4 linked regions of the Saccharomyces cerevisiae S288C genome follow. The protein of the gene in region 1 interacts with the protein of each later gene in a pairwise test. Each region holds a gene or a part of one and is shown in the gene's direction. Other genes may lie near its edges.

Region 1 (4,436 bases):
TGATGTGTCTGACAACAACAAGGCCCTAGCTAAATTGAAGAGAGAAGCTGAAAAGGCTAAACGTGCCTTGTCCAGCCAAATGTCCACCCGTATTGAAATTGACTCCTTCGTTGATGGTATCGACTTAAGTGAAACCTTGACCAGAGCTAAGTTTGAGGAATTAAACCTAGATCTATTCAAGAAGACCTTGAAGCCTGTCGAGAAGGTTTTGCAAGATTCTGGTTTGGAAAAGAAGGATGTTGATGATATCGTTTTGGTTGGTGGTTCTACTAGAATTCCAAAGGTCCAACAATTGTTAGAATCATACTTTGATGGTAAGAAGGCCTCCAAGGGTATTAACCCAGATGAAGCTGTTGCATACGGTGCAGCCGTTCAAGCTGGTGTCTTATCCGGTGAAGAAGGTGTCGAAGATATTGTTTTATTGGATGTCAACGCTTTGACTCTTGGTATTGAAACCACTGGTGGTGTCATGACTCCATTAATTAAGAGAAATACTGCTATTCCTACAAAGAAATCCCAAATTTTCTCTACTGCCGTTGACAACCAACCAACCGTTATGATCAAGGTATACGAGGGTGAAAGAGCCATGTCTAAGGACAACAATCTATTAGGTAAGTTTGAATTAACCGGCATTCCACCAGCACCAAGAGGTGTACCTCAAATTGAAGTCACATTTGCACTTGACGCTAATGGTATTCTGAAGGTGTCTGCCACAGATAAGGGAACTGGTAAATCCGAATCTATCACCATCACTAACGATAAAGGTAGATTAACCCAAGAAGAGATTGATAGAATGGTTGAAGAGGCTGAAAAATTCGCTTCTGAAGACGCTTCTATCAAGGCCAAGGTTGAATCTAGAAACAAATTAGAAAACTACGCTCACTCTTTGAAAAACCAAGTTAATGGTGACCTAGGTGAAAAATTGGAAGAAGAAGACAAGGAAACCTTATTAGATGCTGCTAACGATGTTTTAGAATGGTTAGATGATAACTTTGAAACCGCCATTGCTGAAGACTTTGATGAAAAGTTCGAATCTTTGTCCAAGGTCGCTTATCCAATTACTTCTAAGTTGTACGGAGGTGCTGATGGTTCTGGTGCCGCTGATTATGACGACGAAGATGAAGATGACGATGGTGATTATTTCGAACACGACGAATTGTAGATAAAATAGTTAAAAATTTTTGCTGCTGGAAGCTTCAAGGTTGTTAATTTATTGACTTGCATAGAATATCTACATTTCTTCTAAAAATACATGCATAGCTAATTCAAACTTCGAGCTTCATACAATTTTCGAGGAGATTATACTGAGTATATACGTAAATATATGCATTATATGTTATAAAATTAGAAAGATATAGAAATTTCATTGAAGAGTATAGAGACTGGGGTTAAGGTACTCAGTAACAGTGTCATCAATATGCTAATTTTGCGTATTACTTAGCTCTATTGCGCAAATGCAATTTTTTCTTACCCTGATAATGCTTTATTTCCCGTTCCGAAAATTTTTCACTGAAAAAAAAGTGCTTAAGCTCATCTCATCTCATCTCATCCCATCACTATTGAAATATTTTGCTAAAACATTATAACAGAGAGAGTTGAAAGGCTCGAGAACCTAATACTGAAATGGCCAAAAAAAATAGATTGAACACAACTCAAAGAAAGACTTTACGTCAAAAGGAAGATGAGTACATCGAAAACTTGAAAACCAAAATTGATGAGTATGACCCTAAGATAACCAAGGCCAAGTTTTTCAAAGATCTCCCCATTAGCGATCCCACATTAAAAGGTTTAAGAGAATCATCCTTTATAAAACTTACTGAGATCCAAGCCGATTCTATTCCCGTGTCCCTGCAAGGTCATGATGTATTGGCGGCCGCAAAGACAGGTTCCGGTAAGACATTAGCATTTTTAGTTCCAGTAATTGAAAAGCTATACCGCGAAAAATGGACCGAATTCGATGGGTTAGGTGCCCTTATCATATCTCCAACAAGAGAGTTGGCTATGCAAATATATGAGGTTTTGACGAAAATAGGTAGTCACACTTCATTTTCAGCTGGGTTAGTTATCGGTGGTAAAGATGTTAAATTCGAACTAGAAAGGATATCAAGGATTAACATTCTTATCGGTACACCTGGTCGTATTTTACAACATTTAGATCAAGCCGTAGGTCTAAATACTTCCAATTTGCAGATGCTTGTTCTTGACGAAGCTGATAGATGTTTAGACATGGGGTTTAAAAAAACTCTGGATGCCATCGTAAGCACATTGTCACCATCTAGACAAACACTTTTATTTTCAGCGACTCAATCACAATCTGTTGCAGACTTGGCTAGGCTTTCCTTGACAGATTATAAAACCGTTGGTACACATGATGTGATGGATGGGTCGGTTAACAAAGAAGCATCTACTCCAGAAACTTTGCAACAATTCTACATTGAAGTTCCTTTGGCAGATAAATTGGATATCCTTTTCAGTTTTATAAAATCACATTTAAAATGCAAAATGATCGTTTTCTTATCAAGTTCCAAACAAGTGCATTTTGTCTATGAGACATTTAGGAAGATGCAGCCTGGTATTTCTTTAATGCATTTACACGGTAGACAGAAACAACGTGCTAGGACAGAAACTTTGGACAAATTCAATCGTGCTCAACAGGTGTGTCTTTTTGCTACCGATGTCGTTGCTAGAGGTATTGACTTTCCTGCAGTCGATTGGGTTGTTCAAGTGGATTGTCCAGAGGACGTTGATACATATATCCACAGAGTCGGTAGATGTGCTCGTTACGGTAAAAAGGGTAAATCTTTAATCATGTTGACTCCACAAGAGCAGGAAGCGTTCCTAAAAAGACTTAACGCTAGAAAGATCGAACCAGGCAAACTTAATATAAAACAGTCAAAAAAGAAATCCATTAAACCACAATTGCAGTCATTATTATTCAAGGATCCAGAACTAAAATATCTAGGACAAAAGGCTTTTATATCGTACGTGAGATCTATATATGTGCAAAAGGACAAACAAGTTTTCAAATTCGATGAGTTACCAACAGAAGAATTCGCTTATTCTCTTGGTTTACCAGGGGCCCCAAAAATCAAAATGAAGGGTATGAAGACCATTGAGCAGGCCAAAGAAAGAAAGAATGCTCCAAGACAGCTAGCTTTCTTATCAAAAGCAAATGAAGATGGTGAAGTAATTGAAGATAAGTCGAAACAACCAAGAACAAAATATGATAAAATGTTTGAACGTAAAAATCAAACCATCTTAAGTGAACACTATTTGAATATAACGAAGGCTCAAGCACAAGAAGACGAGGATGACGATTTCATTTCTGTCAAGCGTAAAGATCATGAAATAAATGAAGCTGAGTTACCAGCTCTAACTCTTCCAACTTCAAGGCGAGCACAGAAGAAAGCGCTTTCAAAGAAGGCATCTCTGGCCTCCAAGGGTAACGCTAGCAAATTAATATTTGATGATGAAGGCGAAGCCCATCCAGTTTATGAACTTGAAGATGAAGAAGAATTTCATAAGAGAGGTGATGCGGAGGTACAAAAGACAGAATTTTTAACTAAAGAATCTGCAGTAATGGCAGACATTGACAATATTGATAAGCAGGTGGCTAAAGAAAAAAAACAAGAGAAGAAGAGAAAAAGACTAGAAGCCATGAGAAGGGAAATGGAGGCTGCTATGGAAGAAGAAATTTCTGGAGATGAAGAAGAAGGGAAGACAGTAGCATATTTAGGAACAGGAAACTTGAGCGATGATATGAGCGACGGTGATATGCCTGACTCGGAAGGCCACTTGAAAAAGAAAGCTAGAACTGTTGACTATTCCCACGGCCACAATCCATCCAATTCAGTTGATGATGACATTATTGAAGTGGAAGAACCACAAACTTTGGAGGATTTGGAATCTTTGACAGCTAAATTAATCCAGGGTTAAACCCTCCTGCATAGTCTAACCTATAGTATTTAGAACTTGTATACATCTATTCTCTACACTAATATACTTATTTCTTTGTTCAAATCATCGGTAATATTACAATAAAAGAAAAATATGCATATACTTTCGTGCATTGAAGGTGTCAAATGAAATCCCGCTTATAGTGAACAGGCTTCCATCATATATACATATATATATATGTTTATATATGTATATCATCACTTATGCTGCTCCAGGAGATGTAGGTATCTATTCTTTCTTAACGGATCCGCATCTATTAATTGGACCAAATATTGTTCCGAGCTTCTTTCCGTTAGAGCTTCCTTTTCTTCCAGAATATCTTCGAGAACTAATAAAATTTTCAAGCACCAAATATTTTGCTTCCCGGAAAATTCAATTTCGTCATTATTTATTAACAGAATGTTTTCTCTCAAGTCTTTCAACATTTTAAGGTACTCTTGTTCGTCCAGAGTTTTACAAACAATGTCGTTTTTAATGAA
Region 2 (6,628 bases), on another chromosome or scaffold:
ATTCCCTTTTATGGATTCCTAAATCCTTGAGGAGAACTTCTAGTATATCTACATACCTAATATTATAGCCTTAATCACAATGGAATCCCAACAATTACATCAGAACCCACACTCTCTTCAATTATTATGTAGAAATTTCGATTCTATTTTGAGGATTCCTATACCCTCGAGTAGAAATTCTAGTATATCCTACATACCTAACATTATTGCTTTATCAATAATGGAATCCCAACAATTATTGTTACAGGCTACGATATTGCGTATAGAAAAAATGTTGAAAGTTCTTCTGCAAGATACAGGAATCCAAAGGGAATCAATATATCTACCTAATAGTATTATTATTTCTTTTCCATTTTATATGTTTCACTATCCTACTATTTCATCGATCCTCTTATTTAAGCTTTTATTAAACCTAATGACTGTTCTATAACTTTTATGTCCTCTTTTTACATCATAAATGATAATTAATATACTAGTGACATGAATACTAATCGATGGATGGTAGTTTGTTCTTATTCTATCAGGGAAATGCATCAGATAATGGATAAAATGGAAAGAATGGAAAGGAATTGTAACATGCCTATATATGGAAAACGAGCTTTTAGAGCTTTCAAGTTAACCCCGGGCGGTTAGTGTAGTGGTTATCATCCCACCCTTCCAAGGTGGGGACACGGGTTCGATTCTCGTACCGCTCAAGATTACTTTTTTAATTTTCATACTTTTTCTCCTAATATCTTGCAAATCATGACTGAATTGACATTAACTGATGCAAATGGGTGGGAAAAATGCTTATCAACCCCCTAAAAAGTCAACTTCTTCGTTAGTGATTGCTATATGTGGCGTCAAGAATTACAAGAAGCTGGCGAGCTTTCCAAGCCCCTTCAGGATTAACCGTTTTTTACCCTTTTTTTACAAATTTACGGCGGGGAATAATTCTGATACTTTCTCTTTATGAGCATTCCTCAACAGGGATCGGCACTCAATTGCTTTAGTGAATAGTTTTTTTTTACGCCAAGAACATTTACCACCCCATTTTCCTGTAGACGTCCAAAACGATACTCTACTTTAAGCCCTTTTTCTGAAGTTTTCATAAAATGTCCGATCTCCTAACGTCATTTTTAAAATCAAATGGTCTTTTAATAATTATGCACGTTAAAAAACATACATAATTGATAGTAAAGAATCTGGTATTCTATCAGTTACCAAGTTCAATCGTAAATTTTTTTACGAGCACTAATAGAAATGGATCATGAAATTGATTTTTTGATTTTCAATTTATGAACTACCCAGATATATAAATATTGGAATAAATTGTGTATTAAGTAGTCGGGAAATATCTTTTATGTTCTCTTTCTTATCATCTAGAAATAATAAATCACAACCAAAAAAATCAACTAACTATCAAAATGTCTGCTACCTCTACTGCTACTTCCACAAGTGCCTCTCAATTGCACTTAAACTCTACTCCAGTTACTCACTGCTTATCTGACATCGTTAAGAAAGAAGATTGGTCTGACTTTAAATTTGCTCCCATCCGCGAATCCACTGTCTCTCGTGCTATGACTTCTCGTTATTTCAAGGATCTTGACAAGTTTGCCGTTTCTGACGTGATTATTGTCGGTGCGGGCTCTTCAGGTTTATCCGCCGCTTACGTCATCGCCAAGAACAGACCAGACTTGAAGGTTTGTATTATCGAAAGTTCAGTTGCACCAGGTGGTGGTAGTTGGTTGGGTGGTCAATTATTTAGTGCCATGGTTATGAGAAAACCAGCTCATTTGTTCTTACAAGAGTTGGAAATCCCTTACGAAGACGAAGGTGACTATGTTGTCGTTAAGCATGCCGCTTTGTTCATCTCTACTGTCCTTTCAAAGGTCTTGCAATTACCAAATGTTAAACTGTTCAATGCTACCTGTGTTGAAGATTTGGTTACCAGACCACCTACCGAAAAGGGCGAAGTCACCGTTGCTGGTGTTGTCACCAACTGGACGTTAGTTACCCAAGCTCACGGTACTCAATGTTGCATGGACCCTAACGTAATTGAATTGGCAGGTTACAAAAATGACGGAACTCGTGACTTGAGTCAAAAGCATGGTGTCATTTTATCCACTACCGGTCATGATGGTCCATTTGGTGCTTTCTGCGCCAAGAGAATCGTCGACATTGATCAAAACCAAAAATTGGGCGGTATGAAGGGTCTGGACATGAACCATGCCGAACACGATGTCGTTATTCACTCTGGTGCATACGCCGGTGTTGACAACATGTACTTTGCTGGTATGGAAGTTGCTGAACTGGATGGATTAAACCGTATGGGTCCAACTTTTGGAGCTATGGCTTTGAGTGGTGTTCATGCTGCTGAGCAAATTTTGAAACACTTTGCTGCTTAGGCTTTTAATGAGGTATGCTTTTAAAGATTTATATATTTTTTATACACGCTATATACACAATTTTCGCTGATGATTTTGTTTTATTATTGATTTTTAAATTAACCGTAGAAAATACTAAGTGGAAAGATCCGATAGTGATGAGATAAGACTTTTAGTTATCTCTGTAATGGTGAGTTTTCGCACATCTTGCAATATTAAAAATATAAATCAATTCTTCAAATGTCACTTCATGGTCGGGTAACCAAATATGATCTTAAAAAAAATTAAGAAAAAAAAAAATTGAAAATTTTGAGCTAAGCTCATCTCATCTCATCGGCTGTAATCAGTAACACATCATTTATTACATCAGTTACAGGTATCAACATATATCTTCAAAAAGGGGACATTATGGTTTTGAAATCTACTTCCGCAAATGATGTTTCAGTATATCAGGTTTCTGGTACAAACGTTTCAAGATCACTTCCAGACTGGATTGCGAAAAAGCGCAAAAGGCAATTAAAGAATGATTTAGAATATCAAAATAGAGTAGAACTGATTCAAGATTTTGAATTTAGCGAAGCCTCCAATAAGATTAAAGTGAGTAGAGATGGGCAATATTGCATGGCTACCGGTACATACAAACCTCAGATCCATGTCTACGATTTTGCTAATTTGTCACTGAAGTTCGATAGACACACAGATGCTGAAAACGTGGATTTCACTATTCTCTCTGACGATTGGACTAAAAGTGTACATTTACAAAATGATAGAAGTATTCAATTCCAAAACAAAGGTGGTCTACATTACACCACAAGAATTCCTAAATTTGGGAGAAGTTTAGTTTACAATAAGGTAAACTGTGATTTATATGTTGGTGCGAGCGGTAATGAGTTATACAGGTTGAACTTGGAAAAGGGGAGATTTTTAAACCCATTCAAGTTGGATACTGAAGGCGTGAACCATGTTTCTATCAATGAAGTAAATGGGTTGTTAGCGGCAGGCACGGAAACAAATGTAGTGGAATTCTGGGATCCAAGGTCGCGTTCCCGTGTTTCAAAGCTATATTTAGAGAACAATATTGACAACAGACCATTCCAAGTCACCACAACCAGTTTCCGTAATGACGGGTTAACTTTTGCATGTGGTACGTCGAACGGTTATTCATACATTTATGACTTGCGTACTTCTGAACCTTCCATTATTAAAGACCAAGGTTATGGGTTTGACATTAAGAAAATTATTTGGTTGGATAACGTCGGCACGGAAAATAAAATTGTTACATGTGACAAGAGAATTGCAAAAATATGGGATAGACTAGATGGTAAGGCATACGCTTCTATGGAGCCTAGTGTTGATATTAACGACATTGAGCATGTACCAGGTACAGGTATGTTTTTCACCGCTAACGAAAGTATTCCCATGCATACATATTATATTCCAAGTTTAGGACCATCTCCACGCTGGTGCTCATTCTTGGATTCTATCACAGAAGAATTAGAAGAAAAACCAAGTGACACTGTTTACTCTAACTACAGGTTCATTACTAGAGACGACGTTAAAAAATTGAATTTAACGCACTTGGTGGGATCCAGAGTATTAAGAGCATACATGCATGGTTTCTTTATTAACACTGAACTTTACGATAAGGTTTCATTAATTGCTAATCCAGATGCCTACAAAGATGAAAGAGAAAGAGAAATTAGACGTAGAATTGAGAAAGAAAGAGAATCCAGAATCAGAAGTTCAGGGGCTGTTCAAAAACCTAAAATTAAAGTCAATAAAACATTGGTTGATAAACTATCTCAAAAACGTGGTGATAAAGTTGCAGGAAAGGTTCTTACGGATGACCGTTTCAAAGAAATGTTTGAGGATGAAGAATTTCAAGTCGATGAAGATGACTATGATTTCAAACAATTGAATCCAGTAAAATCCATCAAAGAAACCGAAGAAGGTGCTGCTAAACGTATTAGGGCGCTAACTGCTGCCGAAGAGTCCGACGAAGAAAGAATTGCAATGAAGGATGGCAGAGGTCACTATGACTACGAGGATGAAGAGTCTGATGAAGAAGAATCTGATGATGAAACGAACCAAAAGTCAAATAAGGAAGAATTAAGTGAAAAAGATTTGAGAAAGATGGAAAAGCAAAAGGCACTAATTGAACGCAGAAAGAAGGAAAAGGAGCAAAGCGAACGTTTTATGAACGAAATGAAAGCCGGCACTTCCACGAGTACGCAAAGAGACGAAAGTGCTCACGTTACATTTGGCGAACAAGTAGGCGAATTGCTTGAGGTGGAAAATGGAAAGAAATCAAATGAATCCATTTTACGTCGTAACCAACGCGGTGAAGCAGAACTTACTTTTATTCCTCAAAGAAAAAGCAAAAAAGACGGAAATTATAAATCCAGGCGTCATGATAATTCATCGGATGAAGAAGGTATTGACGAAAATGGTAATAAGAAGGACAATGGTAGGTCGAAGCCCAGATTCGAAAATAGAAGAAGAGCTAGCAAAAATGCGTTCCGTGGTATGTAGTTATATTAGAAATTGATATTTTAATTATCCTTTCACCTTAAACTAAAAATATTATATGTATGAAGACGAAGACAGCAAAAAGTATGCGTGATACAGTTTACATTATAGAATTCTTTCCCCAAATATTGAGGGTTTTGTTTTTTTTTTTTAATGCAGATGTACGTACATATTTTCTTTATCAAAAGGATGTGTAGAGAACTATGTATATATGTATATGTGTAGGTTTTTTTTTTTTAGGATGACTAGAAAAGGAAATCGAAAAAGAAAAAATAAGCATGAATCATGAGTAGGTTAAAGGCAAGTCGAAGAAGATACGAAGCAAGTGAAGCCGTTTAACTGGAGGATAGTCTAAACCATAGGTTGTAGTTATTCTCAATGATCTGATCTGAGATCAAATGATCATCAATTAGATCGTTTGATCGTGGCAAGTTGTTTTCGTAACCCAAATGTGCCTTTGAATGCAATTGGTAACTAGAATCGAGTCTAAGAGAGTCGGCTAAGTTCAAATAATGTTCATTTTCATCATATTCGTCAACACGAGAAGGATTAGACTCCTGCTTAGGATTGACTATACCATCCTGAGGTAGCAGCAATGGTGAAATTAATAAGGACTCTAGCTTCTCCAACTCGTCAAAGGGGATAGTTGAAGATGTCGGAGATGAAGATAGTGAGGTAGTCGGCTCGAAGAGGTTTGATGCAGTTAAATTTTTAGAATATGAAAGCGGTGGAGTGAGATTATGCGAATGAGAAGTTTTTGATTTTTTATGCAAGTGGGATAATAATTTCTCATTAAGAGGGTTCGAATCCTTCAGCTTACAATCTTCGGAGCAATATAACTTATTTGATTGTAAACTGCTCTTGGTTTCATTGTCCCTTTGGATCTTCCTGGTATTAATGTTCGTTTTCTGTGGAGATGTTGGAATGAGACGATCACAAACAGTGCAGTAATCGTTGAATGCGGTGCTCATTATATGATTGATATGCAAATCGGTAAAGAATACCTGAAAGGAGTGGAGGGATAAGAATAAAGTAATTATTCTCGAGCTTTTTTTATAAGGAAAAAAAGGAGAATCGGTAGCGGAGTATTGTTTCTCTATTCTTTCTTTGCTTACTCTGTTTTATAATTCTCACAAGTGTTCAATTTTTAACTTCTTGGGACAACACTATAGTTCTAAGTTCTTTAGACAGTTCAAAGACAGTTTACTCAATGGCGATGGCCTGTGTCAATGATTATATTGTATATATATATGTGTCCAAGTATGGATGTGAATGTATCTAAATTTTCCGAAATGCAAGAAATAAAATTCTCACAATTGGGGTGTTGAAACGGAAAAGATCGGTATTCCTTTAAATATAAGAATCACCACGTTTCAGGTCTCCAAGTTCTAGCTAAAGATCGTACAAACAAGTGCCAATTTGGGAAAAAAGGGCGGCCTAATTGTGAAAAAAAAAGATGCCCAACTGAAAGAAGGGCAATGAGCAATAGGGAATGTAAACGAATGCAATAAGAAAGCACACGTTAAATTACACTCAGGGAGGAACCCCATAATAAAAAAGTAAGAAAATTGAATGATCTGAACCCGGTGCGCAAAAGCGATGAGATGGGGCGATGAATGACGGTAATAAACACGGTAGCAAATACACCCGAGTCGTGTGCCCTACATTAAGAAAAAAAGAGATGAAAACTTCTCCTCTATTCCGCGGTAACCTATGGTCACGGCCAGATTTTT
Region 3 (4,985 bases), on another chromosome or scaffold:
ATACTTTTGGGTAGTTCAGCTAAGGAAGGACGGGTTTTGTCTCATGTTGTTCGCTTTGTTATAAGGTTGTTTCATATGTGTTTTATGAACGTTCAGGATGACGTATTGTCATACTGACATATCTCATTTTGAGATACAACAGTTTCAACAGTCATCAGGGCACATGGCGCAGTTGGTAGCGCGCTTCCCTTGCAAGGAAGAGGTCATCGGTTCGATTCCGGTTGCGTCCAATTTTTAAGCTTGATCAATGTATAAAAGCATATTTTTTTTAATGTTTCTAAGACTAACTAACGAGGGTTATTTTCTAAGCCTCTATATCTTTTAACTGTTTGTTAAATTCCTCATAAGTTATGGAACTTTTTTTGCCCTCGTACCTTATTACTTCAATGAAATAAGTTTCAAAATTATCCATTACTTCACTAATATTGCCCCAGTAACCCGCCTTCTCGATTAAATTGGCAAAGGTATCTTCTTTATTCCAATGTTGCTCAGGCATAACATCAGGTAAAAAGGTTGCGCTACATGTGGTGCCTGTTTTGGGATGCTTAAAATACAGTTCAATACCGTGCTTTCCGAGTTCCCAATCGAAAATGTCCCCATTTGGATTACCACCACCTCGAAAAATAGTTTTGAAGTTGCCTAAGATGTTGCAACTGCATTTCAGGTCCACCAATTCCCTTTTCTGGATCGGAGAAAATCTCCTATCCTCTAAAGCAGCAATCAAGGAATATTTCTCAATACCATGTGCAATCGGCATCTTAGCAAATGTACCGATACATCCTCTAAGTATATAATTCTCTTCGTTAGTGTCTATTGTGTGATGTTTATTGGACTTTTTCTTCCAAGTTATGAACAACGAAGTTTTCTCATTGTAATCTATTTTAAAGTCGGGGTATAGCCTTCTTCTAATATCTTCTAAAGAAAGGCTGCTCGATTTCCCCGGATTCAAGTGCGAATAAAGTTGATAAAATGCGTAAAACGCAAATGGCGATGAACCTTTAGGGCCTTCCATTGATATCTTTGCAAAAAAACTGGATTTTCGAAATAGCCTTAAAGCCATTACTATCGCACAAGCCAAAAACCATCTTTTCAAAGGATCTTATCTGGATACAAATTGACGCAAATTTCTCTTTATATTCCTCCTTTGTCGCCCAGTGTCATGTGCTTATCCCTTGAAAAAAGGGCCGTTGTTCGAGCCTTGCGAGGCGTATAAAAATTTGGTAAAAATTAAAATTGACACGTAAAAGTTAAATAACATGAAGAGAAATATCTTTTCGCAGTCATTTTCAACAGTAAGCATCCACTTAACACAATTAGGAGAGACAAAATTTGACATATAATGTTATTTCTTAATATTATTAAGCTCCTTTTGGGACTTTTTATTATGAATGAAGTAAAGGCGCAAAACTTTTACGATTCCGATCCTCATATATCAGAGTTAACGCCAAAAAGCTTCGATAAAGCGATCCATAACACAAATTACACATCATTAGTGGAATTTTATGCTCCGTGGTGCGGCCATTGTAAGAAGCTCTCTAGTACGTTCCGCAAGGCAGCAAAAAGATTGGATGGTGTAGTCCAAGTTGCTGCTGTAAACTGTGACCTTAACAAGAATAAGGCTTTGTGTGCTAAATACGACGTAAACGGATTTCCCACGTTAATGGTATTTAGGCCCCCAAAAATTGACCTATCTAAGCCAATAGATAACGCCAAAAAAAGTTTCAGCGCTCATGCCAATGAAGTGTACTCAGGTGCAAGAACTCTCGCGCCTATTGTTGATTTTTCTCTTTCAAGAATAAGGTCATATGTCAAAAAGTTTGTCCGTATAGATACACTTGGCTCTTTACTTAGAAAGTCACCCAAACTTTCCGTGGTGTTGTTTTCCAAACAAGACAAAATTTCACCGGTTTATAAAAGCATTGCCCTTGATTGGTTAGGAAAGTTCGATTTTTATTCAATTTCAAACAAAAAACTCAAGCAACTAACCGATATGAACCCAACATATGAAAAAACTCCTGAGATTTTCAAATATTTGCAGAAGGTCATTCCTGAACAGCGACAGAGCGATAAAAGTAAGCTTGTCGTTTTTGATGCAGACAAAGATAAATTTTGGGAGTATGAAGGGAACTCAATCAACAAAAATGACATTTCCAAATTTCTGCGGGACACTTTTAGTATTACCCCCAATGAGGGTCCTTTTAGTAGACGTTCTGAATATATTGCTTACTTAAAAACTGGCAAGAAGCCAATTAAAAAGAACCATTCCTCCTCAGGAAACAAGCACGACGAATTGTAGTGGTACGTTTCCTCATTCAATGATTATCTAATTAAACACAACATATGTATCTATATAGTCCACTAACTGATGGCATGGACGTTTACTTTTATTTGCAATAATAACTTTTATCTGAGCGGTTAAATACCGAAAGACACGTTTATTACCCGCTTTGAAAATTTTCAACCGATGAGCTTGCCTTTCTACCGGAAAACTGGGGCATAAGAATAAGTACTAAATAGTATAATTAAATTGCCATCCAAAAATTGTATAGAGGGTCAATAAGCACTAGAAGGTTAAAAATGTCGTATTACTTTAAAAATCTGAAGCCAGACTTGAACTCCGACGTAGAAGAAGATGACGGAAACTTATTGGAGAGCATAATGGCGAACAAAAGTAAGCGAGAAATTGACGAACAAGAATCAAGTGACGATGAGTTGAAAACCTTGTCTTTTGGTTCTTTGAAGAAGGCTGAAACGGTAATAGATGAAGAAGATTTCAAAGATACGAAACCCGTTCACAAAAAACCGATCACAACTACATACAGAGAAGAAAGTTTTGATGAAGATGAGGACAGTGAGGACCAATCAGACGAGGATGCTGGATTCTTTGAAGAAGATAGTGAGGATGAAACTCATCATGGTCAGAAAGTACCAAAAAAGAAGAGCAAACACGCTCCAGTAGAACAATCATCCAAGAAAAGGGTACCACGAGTCCGAAATATCCCTGGGCTGGAAATACCGAGGAATAAAAGGTCTAACCTCTATCAGGACATCAGATTTGATAAGTCCACCGGTAAAGCCCTTGATAGTTCTATCATAAGAAAACGTTACCAGTTCTTGGACGAATATAGAGAAAAAGAAATTGATGAACTGCAGAAGCTGTTACAAGAAAGAAAATTTCTATCAAAAATAGACCAGGGAGAACGTGAAGAAATGGAACAAAGACTGAAAAGTATGAAATCGAGATTGCAATCAATGAAAAACAAAGATCTCGAGCGTGAAATTCTCAAGGAATACGAAAATGATATGAATAAAAACAATAATACGAGATACCATTTGAAAAAGTCTGAGAAACGTAAAGTGGTGCAAAAGTGGAAATTTGATCACATGAAGGCCAAGCAACGTGAAAAGGTCATGGAAAGGAAAAGGAAGAAGAGATTGGGTAAAGAGTTTAAACAATTTGAATTTCATAATCGTAGGTAGAGTATTTAAGCAAAAGAATGCACATTAAAGTAATATATAGAGAAAGATAAAAAAATAAACGCACACATAAACTAATGGAAGTAAGAGGTTATCCGCGAACCACAAGGAGAAAATCGAATGAATCGGAGAGGTGACAACAAAAAATTTGAAATACACAAAAGGTTGTCTATATACAGGATATATCGATTATACTTGTTTCTTTTTGGCTTATTTTTTGGGCTTAACGTCAGCACCACCTTTAGCTAACCACTCAGTAATAGAACCAGGATAGATACCAGTGTTTTCGTACCCATAAGATCGAGCCAACTCTTCGGCAGTTTTGGCTCTTACTCCTTTCGCACAAAGAAAAATCAATTCTTTATCGTGAGGTGGTTTAGCAAATTGGAAAACTTTGTGAAACTCCTTTTCGGGCAATCCAAGAGCGCCAGGGGCACTATTCACCGGAATATTTATTGTAGTTGGCATCTTGTAATCCTTTACTTCCTTGGGTTCCCTTACATCTACCAATAGTTTTTTATCATTGGGGTGTTCGACTAGGTTCCTGACCTGGTCAAAAGTATAGATCTTTGGAGCCTTCGTTGTAAATGTTCTCAGGACCAATGTAGGCGATCTTGCAGAAACTGTCCTCGAGAGAATACCTGTACTATGCTTGAACATCGTTGGTCTTTTTCTTCTGTCTCGCTTCCATTTGTTGAGAGTTATCGCTATCTTATTCCATTCAGATTAAGTTTTGTATTTTTTTTTTTATACTTCCTAATTTCTTTGCGCCGCCGCTATCACAGCCAATGCAATAGGCAAATATTATGAACGGTGTGACATAAATGGCATAATACGTTACTAGCTTACGAAAATACACAGGGTACATACCTAGAGTATACAAGGCTATAAGTCAAGTTTATCACCCCCATGAGAAACCCAATCATTCATAGAGCCAGGATATAGTGAGGTGTTTGAATATCCATGTGAGGAGGCGACTTTTTGAGCTTCTCCCCCGCGTTTGCCAGAAGCACAATAAAATATTAGCTCCTTGGCACTGTCAGGTTTTGGGATGCCAATCTGTTTCTCAAATTCTAAAGGATCTAAGGCAAATGCGTCAGGGTGCGATCTATATGGCACATTGATGGAAGCAGGAATATGAACAATCGAGTACTCAGATGGTTCTCTAACATCTACCAAAACCACATTAGGATCATGCTTTCCAACGATTCTTTTCATGTCTTCAAAACTGTAAGATTGAATATTTGAAACATTCTTACTTTGACTCTCGGTTCCATTCCAAGCATTCATCACGGCCTTCCACATTTTAATATCGTTTCTTAGTCACAAACCCTGAAAATAAACGAGAAAGAATTCTTTGATTGATTAAGCCTCCACTCTCTTTTATACACCTCAAAAATTCTCCCCTTACTTCCTTCCCCGCGGGTAATAATATTCTCCAAAAAAAATACAAAAGCAATCAGATGTAACTTATATAGGTTCCAAGATAAATAACAAATTATTTGTCA
Region 4 (5,408 bases), on another chromosome or scaffold:
ATTCTGTAGACCTAAGTTCATAGCTTTTATAAACAATTAATCCCAAAAAATGTCTCTTTTGATGATTAGATGTTAAAAGGTGATATTACTGACTACTTGTTCGAAGTGCCTACGCAACACTTTAGCTGCTTTTTTTAAGCAGCGGCAGATGAGGATTTAAATAACGCATAACCAAGAATATACCTAATGAAGTGAAGGTATACAGGCTGTTCTATGGACTTGAATAATACTGGCTACCCTGGCGTCCTAATGTCGTTAAGAAAGTAACTTGATATCAGATTAATCACAAACTTGGTCCACAAAATACCACTTATCTCATATAATCTAAATCTGACTAAAGGGTGTAGGCACGGAACTTCGGACCTAGAGGTATTGCTCAATATGTATATTTCTCAATGGTTCATCTAGGTAAGCAAGGCCTTGAATAATATACTTAATCTTGTCTGTTTCGCAACAATTGCTGAGTACAATAATGTTGGAATAAAAATCAACTATCATCTACTAACTAGTATTTACGTTACTAGTATATTATCATATACGGTGTTAGAAGATGACGCAAATGATGAGAAATAGTCATCTAAATTAGTGGAAGCTGAAACGCAAGGATTGATAATGTAATAGGATCAATGAATATTAACATATAAAATGATGATAATAATATTTATAGAATTGTGTAGAATTGCAGATTCCCTTTTATGGATTCCTAAATCCTCGAGGAGAACTTCTAGTATATCTACATACCTAATATTATAGCCTTAATCACAATGGAATCCCAACAATTATCTCAAAACTCACCCACTCTTCAAATAATGATGTGGTATACTACCTGAAATACGATAAAAAGTGTTGTATTACGGGCTCGAGTAATACCGGAGTGTCTTGACAATCCTAATATAAACAGTCTTAGGGAAGTAACCAGTTGTCAAAACAGTTTATCAGATTAATTCACGGAATGTTACTTATCTTATATATTATATAAAATATGAATCATGCTAAGTGGTGGAAGCGCGGAATCTCGGATCTAAACTAATTGTTCAGGCATTTATACTTTTGGGTAGTTCAGCTAGGGAAGGACGGGTTTTGTCTCATGTTGTTCGTTTTGTTATAAGGTTGTTTCATATGTGTTTTATGAACGTTTAGGATCTCAAAATGTCATACTGACGTATCTCATTTTGAGATACAACAAAAAGTATAAATCTTTGGAGGGTTGGCCGAGTGGTCTAAGGCGGCAGACTTAAGATCTGTTGGACGGTTGTCCGCGCGAGTTCGAACCTCGCATCCTTCAGTATTTTTTTTTATTTTGTCGGGGCCACCAGATCTTTAATGGCAAGACAAAGCGTTTTCAGATACATGAAATACATTGAAGCTATCTTTTTGAAGAAGAATACCTGCGTAGTGTTCTATGATTGTTCAAATAATATTTTAAAATGGTATTTTACTACTGTGTACATTTTATATGCTTAAATAAAAAAGAAAGTAGAGCACCCAATGTACGTGTGGTAAGGAAATAAATGTTCATAATTTTCATTAATGCATCAAACGGGATAAATGTTTTGGAAGAACGCAAATTTTGAAAATAGATTCCATTGGCTCTTGATAGTTGCTTTACGTATATTTTGTTTAGCCTTCTTTCCCTCATATAAGTATGCAGCTCTTCATTTTCCAAACCAGGATGAGATATGGATATATAGTTTCCCACTGAATCTTTGTGTCAATGCTACGCCCATCTTCTGCACGTCAGAACAGAATAACTACCTTGAGAAGAAAAAAAAAATACAAATGGTGGTTACTTGATAATGAATATGCTCTAATTGAAAAGAAATCTCCCTAGATATGATACCGCCCTCGACGACCCGATCTTTGGTATTTGGTAGGACTGTATCATCTTATTCCTCACATCATAGCAATTTTGTTCGTCATAATGTTCCTTTAGTTCTCAGAGTCATATGAATTCTATTTCCATAGAATTTTCCATTTTGAGCAATACGGGGAGTCGCTACCTCGATTCTAAGTTATGCTGCATTGACTTTATTGTGTGATATACATATCGATGTACTAGAAAGGGTTTGGTTTGGCCAAGTTTTTTATTATGAGGGTGCATTTTTTCTGTTTTAACACATTTCTCATGATCCTAATAGAAGGTTGAGTAGAGATGTACATAATATTTTGCGGAAAGTTTCGACACGTTCATTAGGTTCTAAAAAATTATTATTTTTCATAAGCTATTGAGATCTTATCACCTTGCTCTGTAATTCTAAAGTTGTTCTAAAACCGCAATTAATGTTTCAATTTTGGCGCTATTAATAATGATGGATACTCAACGAGGCGTACCAGTAGCATTTTGCCATCTTAACACATTAGCAAACGTTGCTATTATTGATCCTTCCATAAGTAATTTCACACATCCATTTTCGTCCCTAAGATAAAACAAAGTCTCACAATTCGTATATTGATATTTCAAACCCCAAAGCCTGTAGCCTTTTGATTATGACCGACTTCCCAGACGTGGCCATATTGATAAAGGTGCTTTCTGATCAAAGTTAGTATTAAAGAAAGGGTAAAATTCGTAATATCGTAATATTGTAATATGAACCAAAAACGTTCACAATGTGTAGGATGCACTACCAAATAGGTTGCGTTGTAGTACTCATCTCTCGGTTGCGCGACTAGAAAGTTACTAGAAAACTCCGGAATTCCTTATAATATACTGCAATAATGCACATGTATCTTTTCAGTGCAAATTAATTATAGGAACAAACAGATAGCGACAATTCTTTAAGGGCTGCTGGATTGACAACCCCTTCATCGACCATATTTGATTAGCCAGCCACCAAATAGCGTTTCAATTGACAAACTACATTATCTCGTGAAGAATATTTAAACGGTGATATTGGGTCTGTCTGATCACATTTCCAAAGGCAATGACGTGTAAATTTTTTCTTTCTCTTGTTTTATTATTTTGAATTACTTCGTTATAGCCAGCTTTTCTCACATTGCGCAGTAAAACTTTCGCTATTAAGATTTTGAAAAATTTCAACCTGACAAACTACCCATTGCTATGTAAGTACAAAGCAAACAGTTTACTGCAGCAGAGTGAAGTAAATTTTTACGCATGAGTGAAAAAGTAAATAGTGACTTTGAAGACTTTTCCTCAGATGAGGAAACCGATCAACATAACGTCTTAATTCAGACCAAGAAAAAAATTTCTAGTAAGGATGATATCTTCAGTAAGAAGGTAGAAGACATCGAAAGTGAAAACGAGTCAGACATAGAAGAAGAGCAAAAACAAGAAGAAAAAGAGGATGTAGAACAACCAGATAAAGAGAATGGAGAAAAGCTCGATCGAGAAGTAGAAGAACAAGCTTCGTCCACCACTTCACTGGATTTAAAAACAGAAAAACTAAGGCAACTGGTAAAATCAAAGGCCGCCAAGAAGTCTAAACACAAGACTGGGGTGGTATACTTCTCCAGTATTCCACCTTACATGAAACCTGCAAAAATGAGACAAATATTAACTCGTTTTGGTGAGGTAGATAGACTATTTCTAAAGAAAGAGGACGATCAAAAGTACAAGCAAAGAGTTAAAGGTGGAGGAAACAAGAAAAACAAGTATGAAGAAGGTTGGGCCGAGTTTATTAGGAAAAGAGACGCCAAATTGTGTGCGGAGACGTTGAACGGGAACATTATTGGTGGCAAGAAAGGTACTTTCTACCATGATGATATCCTGAACGTGAAGTACCTCCCAGGTTTCAAATGGGCAGATTTGACTGAACAGATTGCCCGCGAGAACGATATCAGACAGGCCAAGTTGGAGATGGAAATCTCGCAGGCCAACAAACTGAACGCGGAATTCATTAGAAACGTGGAGCAAAGTAAGATGATACAAAACATTAAGAACTCTAGGAAGCGCGCCGGAAAAGAAGGAGAGTCTGCAGATTCTCACCCTCACAGGGAATTTAAACAACGTCGTGTGGAAACAAGCCGTGCCAATGCTCCCTCTGATATCAAGCAGCAATCCTCTGGGTCCAAAGACTTGGGTAATGTTCTCACCAATTTACTATAATATAGAATCAATAACAAATATATAAACACAACCTGTCATTTAGCACGTTTTTTTGCCCGATGCTCATCGCAAAAATTTTTCGCTTGAAGAAAAATTTTTCACTTTTCTTCTTTTTGGGCATATAAAGAAGCGTAGAATATATAAAAGATATTTACTACTTGTTAGTACTTTCCCTTAAGTGTTAACTTTGAAGATCTGTTGACTTGCAGCAAAACCACTAAATATCAGGGGAGGAATAATACAATGGGTACTGGTAAGAAAGAGAAATCTAGACGTATTCGTGAAGGTGACACCAAAGATGGTAATCTTCGTGTGAAGGGTGAAAATTTCTACAGAGACTCCAAGAGAGTCAAATTCCTGAATATGTACACTAGTGGGAAGGAGATCAGGAATAAGAAAGGTAATTTAATTAGGGCCGCTTCTTTCCAGGACTCCACAATACCGGATGCGAGGGTCCAACCAGATCGTCGTTGGTTCGGTAACACAAGAGTGATATCTCAGGACGCACTGCAGCATTTCAGAAGTGCATTGGGTGAAACCCAAAAAGATACATATCAAGTTCTTCTGAGAAGAAATAAGCTTCCCATGTCATTGTTGGAAGAAAAGGACGCAGATGAATCCCCAAAAGCCAGAATTTTGGATACCGAAAGTTATGCTGATGCGTTTGGGCCCAAAGCCCAAAGAAAGAGACCACGTCTTGCTGCATCCAATCTAGAGGACTTGGTCAAGGCTACAAATGAAGACATTACCAAGTATGAGGAAAAGCAAGTCTTAGATGCCACATTAGGACTAATGGGGAACCAGGAAGACAAAGAAAATGGGTGGACCTCCGCAGCAAAAGAAGCTATTTTCAGTAAGGGTCAATCCAAACGTATTTGGAACGAATTATATAAAGTCATCGATTCGTCTGACGTGGTAATACATGTTCTAGATGCAAGGGATCCATTGGGTACCCGTTGTAAGTCCGTGGAAGAGTATATGAAGAAGGAAACACCACACAAGCATTTAATTTATGTTCTTAATAAGTGTGATTTGGTACCTACCTGGGTTGCAGTATGTTAACTTTTTTTTTTTTTTTTTTGATTCTTTCCAACCAAGAGGATAGCACGAGAGATTTTTTTTTTCGATAGAGTATGATTTTTATTACCAAACCTTTTTGTCAGGGTGCTTCTCTATCCGTTTTAGGATAAACTTATCTACAGAAGTGTCTGTTACTGTTTTGGAAGAGTAATACTGTTCGCTTATCCATATTTCCCCGTTCTGGGGAAGCCTCATGGGTAAATTAGAAGGACAACCTTTGTTTTAAAGGTATACCTTCGCTTTTTAGAACAGCGAGGATCTTATG

The links.
Region 2: the proteins of HCA4 (region 1) and ENP2 interact in binary tests that used the Saccharomyces cerevisiae proteins (3 or more experiments, as listed by UniProt).
Region 3: the proteins of HCA4 (region 1) and RRP36 interact in binary tests that used the Saccharomyces cerevisiae proteins (3 or more experiments, as listed by UniProt).
Region 4: the proteins of HCA4 (region 1) and ESF2 interact in binary tests that used the Saccharomyces cerevisiae proteins (3 or more experiments, as listed by UniProt).

What each region holds. Positions count from the first base shown.
Region 1 is NC_001142.9:382,214-386,649, forward strand, and holds HCA4 (RNA-dependent ATPase HCA4), read left to right. Parts: upstream 1-1,623; coding exon 1,624-3,936; downstream 3,937-4,436. Other genes in the region: Hsp70 family ATPase KAR2, read left to right, coding at 1-1,162; Rab geranylgeranyltransferase BET4, read right to left, coding at 4,155-4,436. UniProt on the Saccharomyces cerevisiae protein: ATP-dependent RNA helicase required for ribosome biogenesis. Involved in the release of U14 snoRNA in pre-ribosomal complexes. Required for pre-rRNA cleavage at site A2.
Region 2 is NC_001139.9:778,993-785,620, forward strand, and holds ENP2 (ribosome biosynthesis protein ENP2), read left to right. Parts: upstream 1-2,774; coding exon 2,775-4,898; downstream 4,899-6,628. Other genes in the region: THI4 (thiamine thiazole synthase), read left to right, coding at 1,407-2,387; ECL1 (Ecl1p), read right to left, coding at 5,231-5,866; YGR146C-A (uncharacterized protein), read right to left, coding at 6,284-6,445. UniProt on the Saccharomyces cerevisiae protein: May be involved in rRNA-processing and ribosome biosynthesis.
Region 3 is NC_001147.6:849,432-854,416, reverse strand, and holds RRP36 (rRNA-processing protein RRP36), read left to right. Parts: upstream 1-2,577; coding exon 2,578-3,480; downstream 3,481-4,985. Other genes in the region: YOR289W (uncharacterized protein), read right to left, coding at 305-1,060; protein disulfide isomerase MPD1, read left to right, coding at 1,340-2,296; thiosulfate sulfurtransferase RDL2, read right to left, coding at 3,688-4,137; thiosulfate sulfurtransferase RDL1, read right to left, coding at 4,363-4,782.
Region 4 is NC_001146.8:722,011-727,418, reverse strand, and holds ESF2 (RNA-binding ATPase activator ESF2), read left to right. Parts: upstream 1-3,112; coding exon 3,113-4,063; downstream 4,064-5,408. Other genes in the region: putative GTPase NOG2, read left to right, coding at 4,307-5,116. UniProt on the Saccharomyces cerevisiae protein: Involved in the small subunit (SSU) processome assembly and function, and in the 18S rRNA synthesis. Required for the early cleavages at sites A0, A1 and A2. Stimulates DBP8 RNA helicase ATPase activity.